Caenorhabditis elegans: one gene and its partner. The protein of the gene in region 1 purifies or fractionates together with the protein of each later gene. This does not show direct contact. Each region holds a gene or a part of one and is shown on either strand. Other genes may lie near its edges.

The links.
Region 2: the proteins of mes-6 (region 1) and mes-3 purify together in Caenorhabditis elegans (affinity purification with western blotting, with the first as the bait; 2 studies listed by BioGRID). This does not show direct contact.

Annotation. Positions count from the first base shown.
Region 1 is NC_003282.8:8,509,208-8,514,017, forward strand, and holds mes-6 (Polycomb protein mes-6), read left to right. Parts: upstream 1-2,076; 5' UTR 2,077-2,229; coding exon 2,230-2,424; intron 2,425-2,478; coding exon 2,479-2,709; intron 2,710-2,749; coding exon 2,750-2,923; intron 2,924-2,967; coding exon 2,968-3,152; intron 3,153-3,335; coding exon 3,336-3,416; intron 3,417-3,494; coding exon 3,495-3,854; intron 3,855-3,965; coding exon 3,966-4,119; 3' UTR 4,120-4,215; downstream 4,216-4,810. Other genes in the region: FYVE, RhoGEF and PH domain-containing protein tag-77, read right to left, coding at 1-194, 1,192-1,333; C09G4.4 (uncharacterized protein), read left to right, coding at 4,216-4,270, 4,326-4,380, 4,433-4,559; cks-1 (Cyclin-dependent kinases regulatory subunit), read left to right, coding at 4,743-4,810. UniProt on the Caenorhabditis elegans protein: Polycomb group (PcG) protein. PcG proteins act by forming multiprotein complexes, which are required to maintain the transcriptionally repressive state of homeotic genes throughout development.
Region 2 is NC_003279.8:4,995,075-5,003,035, forward strand, and holds the start of mes-3 (Polycomb protein mes-3), read left to right. Parts: upstream 1-1,764; 5' UTR 1,765-1,769; coding exon 1,770-1,821; intron 1,822-2,442; coding exon 2,443-2,661; intron 2,662-2,721; coding exon 2,722-2,885; intron 2,886-2,936; coding exon 2,937-3,021; intron 3,022-3,567; coding exon 3,568-3,819; intron 3,820-3,866; coding exon 3,867-4,011; intron 4,012-4,318; coding exon 4,319-4,445; intron 4,446-4,497; coding exon 4,498-4,616; intron 4,617-4,715; coding exon 4,716-4,772; intron 4,773-5,162; coding exon 5,163-5,277; intron 5,278-5,326; coding exon 5,327-5,613; intron 5,614-5,659; coding exon 5,660-5,783; intron 5,784-6,480; coding exon 6,481-6,740; intron 6,741-6,787; coding exon 6,788-6,851; intron 6,852-7,081; coding exon 7,082-7,276; 3' UTR 7,277-7,961. UniProt on the Caenorhabditis elegans protein: Component of a Polycomb group (PcG) complex. PcG proteins act by forming multiprotein complexes, which are required to maintain the transcriptionally repressive state of homeotic genes throughout development.

The DNA of each region.
Region 1 (4,810 bases):
TTTTGGAGCAACAGTTGGCTTTGGTCCAAGACTTCGTCTCGTTGTATTTGGCGTAATCAATTCCTGCGGTTCTTCAGGAATATTTTCGGACGATTCTGAAGAAGACGGCGGTCGAATTGTATTCTCATCGTCTGGAGGTGGAGATAATGATGCAGGTTTCCGATGAGGAGGCGGTGGTGGAGCTCGTCTTGGGGCTGCAAAATTGTTTTAAAAATGAATCTTCCAATCTGTTAACCTCATAGGTATATTTAAACTATCTAATTGCTGTAATTGTATCTGCTTCACTCATTTTGAGAGATGATAAAATAATTGTTTTTCTTTCAATAAATGAGTCATACCACTAGGCACACACAGTGGCAGACGGAAAATTGGTCACTTCCGGGGGGTGGAACAATAATACCAACAGAAGTTAAATAGTGAATATATTTTTGGCAAGTGTTCACACAAGAATGACTATTTTAATCAAATGTTGGCGATAATCCAAGTAATTAATATAAGGACACAACCCAATTTTCTAAAATTTATTACTAGTACACTTCTTGGCGACAAAGGAGTAAAATCTGTCAAGTGGCACCTTTAGGCAAACAATATTGCGAAAAGCCTTTATACTTCTTTTTGACTACTTTCGCAATCGGTCACGCGTCTGTACAGATTTGATAGGAACTTTGAAGAAAATTGGGCATTTTTCGTTAACAAAAAGCAATAGGAAGAAGAACAGTCAAAAAACAATTTTAACACGGAAATCAGTTGTTCTACGATATTGTAAAAGTTAATAGAAAAAAAAATGATAGTAACAAAATATTTATGAATTTTCGTCTAGATTCTAACAACGAATATATAAATTGAAATGAGAACTTAATTTCCTTTAAAAATTAATTCGATTCACTGTTGGTGGAGTTTAAGGCAGATTTTTTTTTCGAAAAATTGACTGTTTTTTTTAACTCACAGAATCATTGTCAACCCGATTTTCGGTTCTCTCTTTTTCAATACTATGATCATATGATCTATTTAGTTATTATCAATAAATACAGACATAAATAGTTTTTAAAAAAATTATTTTTTAGTTTTTTTTTTCAAGAAATTTCGTAACTTTTATTTTCTCCACAGATAACAAAGCAAACGAAGTTTTTTGCTACGCCTCAATCAATTGTCGACAGTAAATACAAGACGTCTTCTCTGTTTCAGACTCACAAGGTGGCGGTGGTGGTTGCTTCCGGAATCTGTTGTCTCCGTCGTCCAGTTTATTTTGAAACTCTGCCATCATTTCTTTGACGGTCCTAGACGCCGGTGGAGTATCATCAGAATTTTTGCGATGGTTCATGTCATATTTCATACAGGCGATCTGAAAATAACTATAGCTCGTTCGAGATAACATTTTGGCTAAAAAATTGAAGAAAAAACGATAACACTAAAATATTATGAAATTAAGAATTAGTAATGAACGGGAACAGTCACAGCATGAGAAAAAGGCAACCGCTAGAAGAACAGGTTGAAGCAACAAAAAATCACACAAGACGCAGAGAATCAGGCATTGGAGACGCAGGGATATGGATGAGTCAGCAGCCGACGAAGACAAATTCGAAATAGCAAAAATGAAAGAAGTCTACGGAATTCACAAAGTGGATCTTTTGATATAAGGACAATTTTACTAAATAATAAATATGAATGAATACCCCCAAGTTGATCGCTCTGAAATCTGAAAAAGACCACAAAAACATTTTTTTTAACTGACAATAGCTCACGTAGCAATATAGGATCATACAAAAAAAATATACAAAATTATTAGTTTCGCTCCTTGCGAAAAAAGCCGAGTACAAAATCTACTTAATCCCGTTCGAATCCACTCCGAAATTGGAAGTGGTACTTCACGACAATACAAAATTTAAGCTGGCAACTGTCTTTTCTATCATATTCCCAATCGAAATCACAAATACCTCCCGGAACTTTCGAACAGAATCCAAAATGAGAACAAAAAATTGTAATAAAAAAATAACACTTTAAAGGTGCATGAGGTTATGCGCTCGTTGGGTCTCGCCGCGCTTTTCACCACTAATGCAATTTGAACGAGAAATGCGCGCGAGCGGCCATATTTTAGTTTTTCTGTTGTTTTTATTGTCATTTTTTTCCTTTTTCACTGCAAATTTGATAGTTAATCGACTTTTTTATGTTTTTACTGTGAAGTTTTTATTTTGTTATATATTGTTTCTTGCCTTTTTCCCAAAAACCTGAATGGAGCACACGAAAAAGTTCAAATCATTAAATCTTCACGGGTTTGATCGAAGTACAGAGGATTACGGAAAACGACCTTTTGTACTAACTGCCAAGCTACTTGAAGATCAGAAGAAAGCTATTTACGGATGTGCATTCAATCAATACGCAGGAATAGATGAGGAACAAGCGGTTGCAACTGTCGGAGGAAGCTTTGTAAGCGTTATTTAGCAGGAAACTGACAATGAGGTATAAATATTTGTTTTTCAGCTTCACATGTATTCTGTTCCCATCGACATAAATAACATTGAGCTGCAGTGGTCTTGTAATTTTCCTACCGATAAATCATCAAAGGTCGAACGAGAGGAGTCGCTCTTCACTGTTACCTGGTGTTACGACACATATGAAGCTGAAAACGACCGAAATCCCTTTAAAGTTGTAACGGGTGGAACTTTGGGTCACATTTACGTTATCGACTACGTCTCGAGGAAGCTGTCGAATGTAAATAATCAAAAATTACTGAAATAATTTGGAGTTTTAGCGTCTTCGGAGTGTTGGATGGGAAATCAATGACATTCGTACGTGTCCTGCCAACTCAAATCTGATTGTCTGTGCTTCATCAGATCAATCTATCCGGATTCATCATATTCGAAACGAAGCATGTCTGATTGTTATTGGGGGTCTCGAGTGTCATGCTGGAACAATTCTTTCTGTGGTTGGTTTATTAAATTTACTTACGTTTCGAATTTCTCATTTTAGGATTGGTCAACCGACGGAGACTTCATTTTATCGTGTGGATTCGATCATCAACTCATGGAGTGGGATTTATCTGTGAAACAAGTAAAGGAACATTTGGAACGAGCGTGCAAAGCTCTTCACCAAGATAAAATAAATGTGCTAACACAATCACAAGATATTCCGTATGTTTCGAAAGGAACAATGAGGTAAATCAATTATTCAGCTAACATTTTCTAGTTCCTTCTAGTATTTGATCAGTCCTTAACGCGAAAATTGTTGCTGTTGTTGTATATAAAAATATTTTTGAAACTTGAGTTTTGGATAAAAGACTGGTAAATAAAGAGACCAGGGCTATCAAATCATAATGTAATTCATTTTTGTATTTTTAGAAAGTCTGCAGTTTCTCGCAACATTCCCGACAAAGAAGAAGATCAATTGCTCGAACTTCACAGAGAGCTCATACCCCGACCGTACGTTGATTTTCGGCATCCATTACTTTTTTAAAGTTGTTTCAACGAATCTGGTTCTATCGTTTTCTTCTTTTTCAGGAGCTGCCTTCTTCCAATTTATACTCCATCCTCCGTATCAACTGATATGCATTCTGATTATGTGGATTGCATTCGATTTCTTATCGGTACTAACTACGCACTATCAAAAGGATGTGGCAATGAAAAGGCAATTCATTTTTGGAGATTTGGGCCACCTAAGGGAGAAGTTGAAAATCGCATTCATGGAAATGTTCTCCGTCCAAAGTCGTGTACAACGAAATTTCGTACAATGAATGTTCCGAGTGGTTCTGCATGGTTTATCAAATTCGCCGTTGATCCAAGAAGACGATGGCTGGTGTGCGGTGGAGCTGGTGGTTCTGTGATGTTTTTCGATTTGAGAAATAATGAAGAAACCAATCCGTAAGTAAAATATCAAGAAAAATAATTTCTGAGATGTTCGATATCTCTTAAAAATTATAGAAATATTTTTGCTGTGATTACCAGTATAAATTCCTGTTTTTTTTTTTACAGGACTCACACTTGTTCCGTTGGCTCACGTACAGTTCGGCAAGCTTCTTTCTCTACATGTGGCCGATTCCTAGTACTAGTAACTGACGAAGGATTTGTTTGTCGATTTGATCGTGTATCTGCGTCTGTCGACGCTAAGGACCTGGCAAAATTTTGAATATCATTCCTTCTCACCTTCAATTTTTTATATCTCGTTGTGATTTCATCTTCGATCATCTTCAGTGGATTTTACATTACAATTTTGCAGTTCCTAATGTCATCCCCAACCTCCTCTAAGGATTATTCTTCACCTAAACATAGCTTTATGTGTGAGTTTCGAAGAGATTATTTTCGTTTTCTGATTATCTAATTTTTCTAATTCAGTGACAGTCGACAGCAACTTACAAAGTGACAAAAAGAAGACGTTTTTGAATGTTCAGTGAGTTTTGAAAATTTTATTAGCTTTCATGTTATTACCTTTTTTATTTCAGATCATCTTCCTCTGCTGGGTCAACCAAGCACTGTCAAATTCCAATGTCAAAGGACGAGTATTTTGAAACACGCGGGAAACTCGACTCTGTTGATGTTATCGATCAATTCAGACAGCGTCAGCAATGAGCATTTATCGATTTGTCTGTACATGCAGTGTTCCTCACCATTCTCACTCTTGTCTCATTCCCATTCTTCTCTTTTTTTTCAATATTTTTTATTCTTTCCTTATTTTTGTCCGTTTCTATTTCCCGATGCTTGTTAATAAAATGAATTATTTCAGAGTCGCACCTTCTCACGCCAACCAACAAAATGACAACTGGAAACAATGATTTCTACTATTCAAACAAATACGAAGATGATGAGTTCGAGTACCGTCA
Region 2 (7,961 bases), on another chromosome or scaffold:
TTCAAATGATTCTCGGCCGTGTACTCCTCTCGGACAATTAATAAATTGTTTAATTTTGGATGTTTGTAGAGGTTTTTCGTGTTTTCTCATGATTTTACGGGAATCCTTTTGATTTTTTTGGTTAAAAACAAATTATTGGTGGTCTATGAATGCATTTTTCACTGTAAAATAGTGGAAACCGCCGTTATCCTCTTGAGAAAGTTCTAAAGTTCCATAAATTGTTCAGTTTCGCGGTTTTTCATTGAATAATTTGTAATTATTGTTTTTCGAACGTACAATTATCAAAAGAAAATCACGAAAAATCGCCAAATATTCCAAAATTCGATCGAATGGAGGTTTATTCTTCATTCCCTTCAAAATAGATTTATAATAATCTCTTGTTCGAACACTCCCTCTTCCCGCAGCGAAAGTGTAATAAAATGTCCAATAATCTAGCTAGATCTAGTTCAATAACTCATCAATTATATTGCCCTTTGATGTAGTTTTATAATGTCATAAAGTGCACACTTCTAAGAGTGGGCAGCTAAAAAATGCACTTGTTGCTCTTTTTTTCGCACCCTTCATACTTTTTTGGATCGATTTCTTTCATTTGATATTCATAATGACCTAATGTTTCCGCTGTACACTGTATCTGCACTCACGTGATGGGTCTCGCCACGGTAATAATATTACAAAATGATTTTGCCTATGCGTCTTTGAGTTTACTGTAGAAAATTAGTAATACATTTTTCAGCTCTACTTCTTTCTTCGCAGATTATTTTTCTGTGAGAACAAGAATACACAATTTATCCATTTCCATTCAATGAAAATGTATGACAGCGTGATTTCGATAAATCAACAATTGAATCCTTTTTCTTTAAACTTATAACTTCAATTGACATATTTTTAATTTCATTGTAAAACTTGGAATATAATTTCGTTGGTTTCAGTCTCTCATCCGTTCCAAATTATAATTCCAAACTCTCGAACGCGGAGACATGCGCACGCTCCTCTTCCTTTCCCTCGAGTAGGCGTCGCTCCTTCTCTTTTATTGATTTGTCGTGCTCTCCGCTCTTGTTTGAACGCGACCAATATGACTCATTTTTTTAATATTTAAAGTTTTTAAGCACATGCATAGTGCATTGCTCGCTTTCTACCTCTACGCGTTGTTCATGGCTCTAAAAACAAAGAGCGTACATTTTTTGAAATTCTATTTAAATAAATAAAATTATTATTGAGAATTCATCCGAAATATCTGTGAAATATCAAGCCAAACATATTTTTTATAATCCTAAAGTTAATAAAATTAAAATAAAGTATAGTCATTTTGTAAATTTGCTCAAAATGACAGAAAATGGACCGTAATAACCAAATATAGATGTTAAACATGCATAGAACTTTTCTAAATTTTTTTTTTAATTTTGCAAAAAGGTTCTTACGGTACATTTTTAATCAACCATTAAGTTTTACAAATCTTCATAGGTATAATTTTTTAATGAACAAATTGTTTGACTGGCAATAACCACGCATTCCTTCATTCGATTCCTTATCGAACCAGCCGTCTGTCTGAATATGATGTGAATTTCTTTTTTATTCTGCGTCTCCTCAATTGACATACTCTCTACTCAGTTTCCCAGAACGAAGTCTCTCTCATCTGACATTATATCTTTTTTGCGCTGTTCGTTTCACATTTTTCTTTCTCTCTCTCTCTCTGATTGGCGATTTCGAGATAAATCGATAATCTCGATCTTTGCTAAACTATTTTAAAACACAAAAAATCATTGCAGGGTATGACTCCGGCGACGGCAGAGGTGAAAGTTGGAGGGAGAAAACGGAAGAATGGTTAGTTGGAGAATAGGACATTTACTGGAATTTACAAAAATCAAATTCTTAAAATCAATTTTTAATTAATTTTGAAACATAAATCCCAATCGCGCCGAGACCCGCGTATTCTAACACAACGCTCACCTTTAAAAATAGTTAATTTTTTATTCGAGAAACTCGGCCTGAAACTTTTTATTTAACTTCTTGTTTAAATTGTAATTTAAACTATTATAATTAAAGTTTTTCCTGTTTTCTTAATTTTTCCACCAGTGAAAATTATTTTCGGCAATTCTACAAAATTACCTATTGTGCCATTTTGTTCCATCATATTTTATTACAAAACAGTGTCAAAAAATAGAAAATTACTTGAATTATCTAAAAATAACATTTATTTAAGCTGAAAAAATTTGAAAAATTGTTCAAAAATGGCTTGAAATTCGATGTTTCGTTTAATCAGCAATTGGCAACTCTCAGGCCATTTTTGAACACTTTCCCAAAATTTTATGCTAAAATAAATGAAATAAATGTTATTTTCAGATCAATAAAGTAATTGTCTATAGTTTGAAATTAATTTTTTTTCTGTCAAATTATAGTAATTTTTAGCATTTTTGAATTAATACTTTAAGCTTATTTTTGCAGATGAGCCGGTTTTTATCAAGACAAAACAATCGAGGTCAGCTCGTCGAGAAGAAGAAAAAGAAAATCTTTTGAACAAATCTCTTCCGTCAACTCCAACTTCATCAGAGGCCGGAAGTTCTCGGGAATCTTCAAATCCAGTCACAAGCTCCAGTAGACGAAAGAATCCACCTACCAAATTAGAAAATATTCAAAAAACGTTGCCGACTTGCAGTGACGGACGTTAGTTTTAAAAATCATTAATTAAAATCTCAATTTTTCTATTAATTCACATTTTTTCAGTTGAAATTCGCAATTATGTGAAAAAATATGGATTGCCGGAAGATAACAAGTTTCTCGTTCGTAATGTCTTCGACAAACAATTATTATTTGGAAAGAAATATGTGTGTAGAAGGCGTGTGATTAAAAGCATCGATGAATTTTTCCCGCGACTAAAGACCGATGCGGTTTGTTTGAATTTTTGATGGATTCATTTGCAAAATAAATTTTTCTTTCAGCACAGAGAAAATGGTTTATATAATTTCTGTACTCTACAATTCATGAAAATATCCTCCTGGGGAAGTTCGATGGATGAGAAGATTTGTTAGTTTATTTTTGAAAATTTTGAAAAATTTGAAACGAAATCTCGATAAAAACACTTAATTCGAAAAAGACCAACAGAAAATCACTTTGAACTAAAAATATCTATTCAATATTGATTGAAACCATATTTCACAAGAAATAAAAGTCTTTTTGAAATTTGGTTTTAAAAAAAATTATTTTTTTAATTAAAAAAGTCAAAAAAAATTGAAAAGTTCTGATTTGCATTATAAAACAAAAAATGAATTAAACTCAATAAATATATAGCCAGAAAACGCGAAAATGTCGGAATTCGCTTTTTTTTTCAGTTTTTGCAATTTCCTAAAATCACACAAAATTTATAAAAATTATTTTTTTCCTATAGTTTAAAGCAAATTTAATGATTTTGAAATGTTTGAGGTTTTTTTTCAAAAAGTAAGAACAATATTTCCAAAAAAATGAAATTATTTTCTAATTGTAAATTAAGATTCAAAAATACACACACACATAGTTTTTTTCGGTTTTAAAATTATTTTCTCATTAATTCATTAAAAAAAAGAACATTTTCAGATGTTACTTCTGCTGCAATTGTTCAAAGCTACGTGATAATTGTCGACGATAATGATTCAGTCACCTGCATTGAAAATGGAATCTCAGTTATTCCAATGGCGAATAGAACGTTACCATCTATCTCCTATAACAGTTCAAATGTAAAAAATATCACTTTGACGGGCCCTGAACTGAAAAAGGCAAAAAACGTATATCTCGCAGTGATTGTGAAACGAAAAACACCAAAACTTGGAGAAAATCGAGTTGGGACAAGTGAGTGAAATCATTTCTTTTTTTTAAATAAAAAGTTTCTTTTGTAGGAGGAAAATCAACTCGAGCATCATTCGAAACGGCTGCTTCCTCAGAAAACTTTCAGCAACTTGTTCGTTTTGGGTGCACTTTGATGTATGATAAGGATGCTGAAATTAACTGCCTAAATGACGGAGTTCAACGTATTATCTTACTGTAAGTCGCTTTAAAATTATAAATGCAAAAATTTAAAAACTTAAAAATTCAAAAAAAATTAAAATACTTTAAAAGTTTTTTTTTCCAAAATTTATCCGAAGGTGAATCTATAAAATTAAACTGGCCTGCTAATTTTTTAAAAAGGGGGTTTTCTGAAGATTTTGAGCGAAAACTGTTGTCAAAATAAATAAAAAACTGAAAAACATTTTTTTTCGAGAAACACGCGCTCAAATTGACGGGTATACGGTAGAAAATATTTTTTCAAAAAAAATTGTATAATGAAAAATATTGCTCTTGATTTTTCCAGTGATCGAGAAGAAAAGCCAGCGTATTTGAAAATTTTCGGGAAGGCCGATGAACCGGAACTCGAGAATGCTTGGATGAATAATGTTAAGCATTTGGAGTTTATAAGCGATACAAATTATAACAAAGAGGTAACGATGAAGAGTTAATAAACTTTTATAAATAATTGATTTTTTTCTACAGGATTCTCATCTCGCTCGTCTAATCTTCTCTTCAAATACTCATAATTATTTCGATAGACCGGACATTTCAAAATTCTCTCCATGGCAGCCGCGATCCAGAAGGACGACACTAAAATCTGGGTGAGAAATTCGATTTTTTCTCTTTTTTTAATTTTGTTTTTATCTGGTTTTTGCACGACCGTAATCCCGCACGCTTATTGTGTTTTCCATCATTTTCAGAATCTCCGTCGAGCCAGGAACGAGTTGCGATGAGGATTGTGGATCGCAATATGAAGAGTTCGTTTTTGATCCCTACCACCTGATTTTTTGTTTGAATATCTAATTTTTAAATCACTAAGTTTGCTGGATTTTTTCCCTTACAGAATTTCTAATTTCGGGTGCATTTCTTCTTTTTTCTTAGTTGGCTGTAATTGATACCTTCCAAATAGCTTGTCGTGATTTTTGAAAACCGTGAAGCTGCATTTCAGAATTTTTGAGTTAAAACTGGGGGGTTTTGTCCAAAATTACAGAAGGCAATCTGCATACACCGGATAGAACTTCAAAAAAAATCATCTAAATTTTATAGTTAATCACTCACTACATTGGATATTCGCGGAACTTCATGTTTCTATCCAACCATAGATCATCTAACTGTTCTTCAAAATTGTTTAGAAAATATAATTACAGTACAATCACTCTCAAGCAGTTACTCCTTGGAACGAAAAAGCTATGCGGAAGACGTAAGAGACATTTGACCCGACTCACTTCAAGATGGCCGTGTTTTTCAGTCGATCCGACGAAGGTAATTCTTAAAAAACTATAATTTCAAAGCTTAAGTGCAATTATTTCAGATCAATTCATATTTCAATGAAACTGGTGTCACTTTGCTGGAAAATTCGTGTTCCTACCGTCCTGGAACTCAACGAAGCATTCCAATAAAACCTACCCGAGTGATCAGAGTTAGAGAAGAAACTCCAGTTTCCGTTCCAATTGAGGTTATTACGATTGAAGATGATTCAGATGATTCACCATGTTTTTCTGCGAGAAATCGAGCACCAGGTGGAACACGGAAATATGGATTAGATTTTATACAATCTTCGGGTCATATGCCATATATTCGTTATGTTTATATGAACAGGTAATTTGATTTAATGCAATCCAGTAAAAAAATATATGATTTGCAGAGCAAATGACTTAGTGCCCCAGCTGAATGGCGAAGAAAATGGAAAAATCGAAGGTCTTATGGAAGCATATCCGATGAATAATGCTCACATGTATTCAGATATTGAGTTCCTGAGAAAAGAAAAAGTAAGAATTGTTTTTAAAAAAAAGACATAAAAGTTGTAATAATTTTCGCTTTTTTCACTAAAATCGAAAATGGAATTTTTTGTTTCGATTTACTGATTTTTGCAAAAATAAAACAAAACTTTAAGATTTTTCTTTTTTCCGATATTTCGAAAAAATTGCATAATTTGTTTTCTTTTTAGAAGCAATTTGTATGTATTTCTGAAAAAGCGAACAAAATTGTTTCCTGAAGGCGAAATCTATTTTTCCCTCAAAAACCCAAAAAAAAAAAAAAAAGTGAGAAAGGAAAAATTGAGAACCTTTCATTATATTTTTTGAATTTTTTGAATTGACTCCAAAAACAGGAAAAAAAAAACAAAAAATCCCAGCCTTGATTACGATATTAAAAATTTTCTATTGTGACATGTTGCTCCAACAATTTGTATTTAAAATTAATGTCAAAATATAGAAAAACACTCGAATTATCTGGAAATAACATTTATTCTGGCTGAAAATTTTGAAAAAGTACTCAAAAAATGTCCTGGAAGTTGCTGATTGCCAATTATCGAATTATTGAATTTCAGGTAATTTTGAACACTTTCTCGAATGTTTTAGTTGAAAAAAAGTTATTTTCAGATAATTCTAGTGATTCCTGCACTGAACACTAAAAAAAACTTGTCGCCGCAAACAAAAAAAATTAAAGCAAAATTACAAATTTCAGTTGAATCTTCCGAAGAATGCTCAAAAATATGGCGAAATGACAATTCTTGACTATCCACTAACGAAGACGGAAACGGACGAATATAATAAAAAGATGTCTGTGATGAATGTCAAAGATTTTGCGGTTAAACCCAGAAAACCTATTCCAACAGTCGGAAATACCACTTTAAGTTTGGATTTGGAAGGATGTCCTATATCGACATTTTCAGAAATATTCTTCCCAAGTGGAAAAACTGAACTATTCAATATTCTATGCAGACAGTAAGTGTTATAATATTAAGTCATATATTAAAACCCAATTTTTGAAGTTTCTACTCTGAAGCTGGACAACGCCCTGGATGCTTCTCAGCACAATGGAAATCTAGAGTTTTGGTGAGTTTATTGAACATTCAGGACTAGATTGGCAAACGTACGGAATTGCTTAGTACAGTATTTTTGAATCAAAACCTTTAAACTTCTTTTCAACGAAAATGAAAATTATTTTCAGAGTCTTTGATTCTACAAAAAATGAATTAGCGTACTAAAATAAGCATCTCAACACTTTTGCCAAGATTTGCCTTAACTTAGAACGCATTTTTGAATTTTTCATAAATAATTTTCAGACTGGCTTCATCAACAAATACCATCAGTACATTTTCGACATGAAATTGAATTCTTTATTCGAGAAACAAATAAATCTCATCGCTATGGTCAGCCCTGACTGGAAATTAGAAGATTTTGAATTGCCCATGGTTCGATATAAGCAATTGAAAAAAGAATGGAAAAATCGCCAACGAGATATACCATCTTCTAATTAGATTATCCCCTTTTTTCCTTGTATCTTTTTCTTTTTGGAAATCCTGTGTTTAATCTCTTTTCCATTTATCAATCAACTATACCAAATCGTGGTGGGTGGCAATTCTACTAAATGACATTAAAAATTAGTCTGAAAACATAGAAAATAATTTGATTCTTCTGCAAATAACATTTGTTTCAGTTGAAACACTTGAAAAAATGATTAAAAATTACCTGGAAGTTGGAAATTGTCGAATTTTGCTATTCGGCAATTGGAAACTTTCAGACTATTTTTGTGCAATTTTCAAATCTTTCAGCTGAAATAAATGTTATTTTCATATTTTTAAATAAATTAATTTTCTATTTTGAGACTAATTTTTAATGAACAATATTGGCCAATTTATGGAATTGCCAAAAGTAATTTCCACCCACCGCTGATCCCAAAAATACTACAATTTTTAGCACCTTTTGACCCAAAGAACGTCGTACTTCAATGATCTTCCAGATTACACGAGTCATCACTAAGTTTTTCTTCATTTCTTTTTCTTTCATTTAAGTTTTTTTCTATCCATTTTATAAGTTCTTTCCTTGATTGTTCTCTGCTCTACAACTCTTCTTTCTACTCACACTCCATGGATGTTGTGAAGCTTCTGTTATTTTGGAAATTTTATAATTTTACACAACTATTTGTACTATCCACTTTCAAGT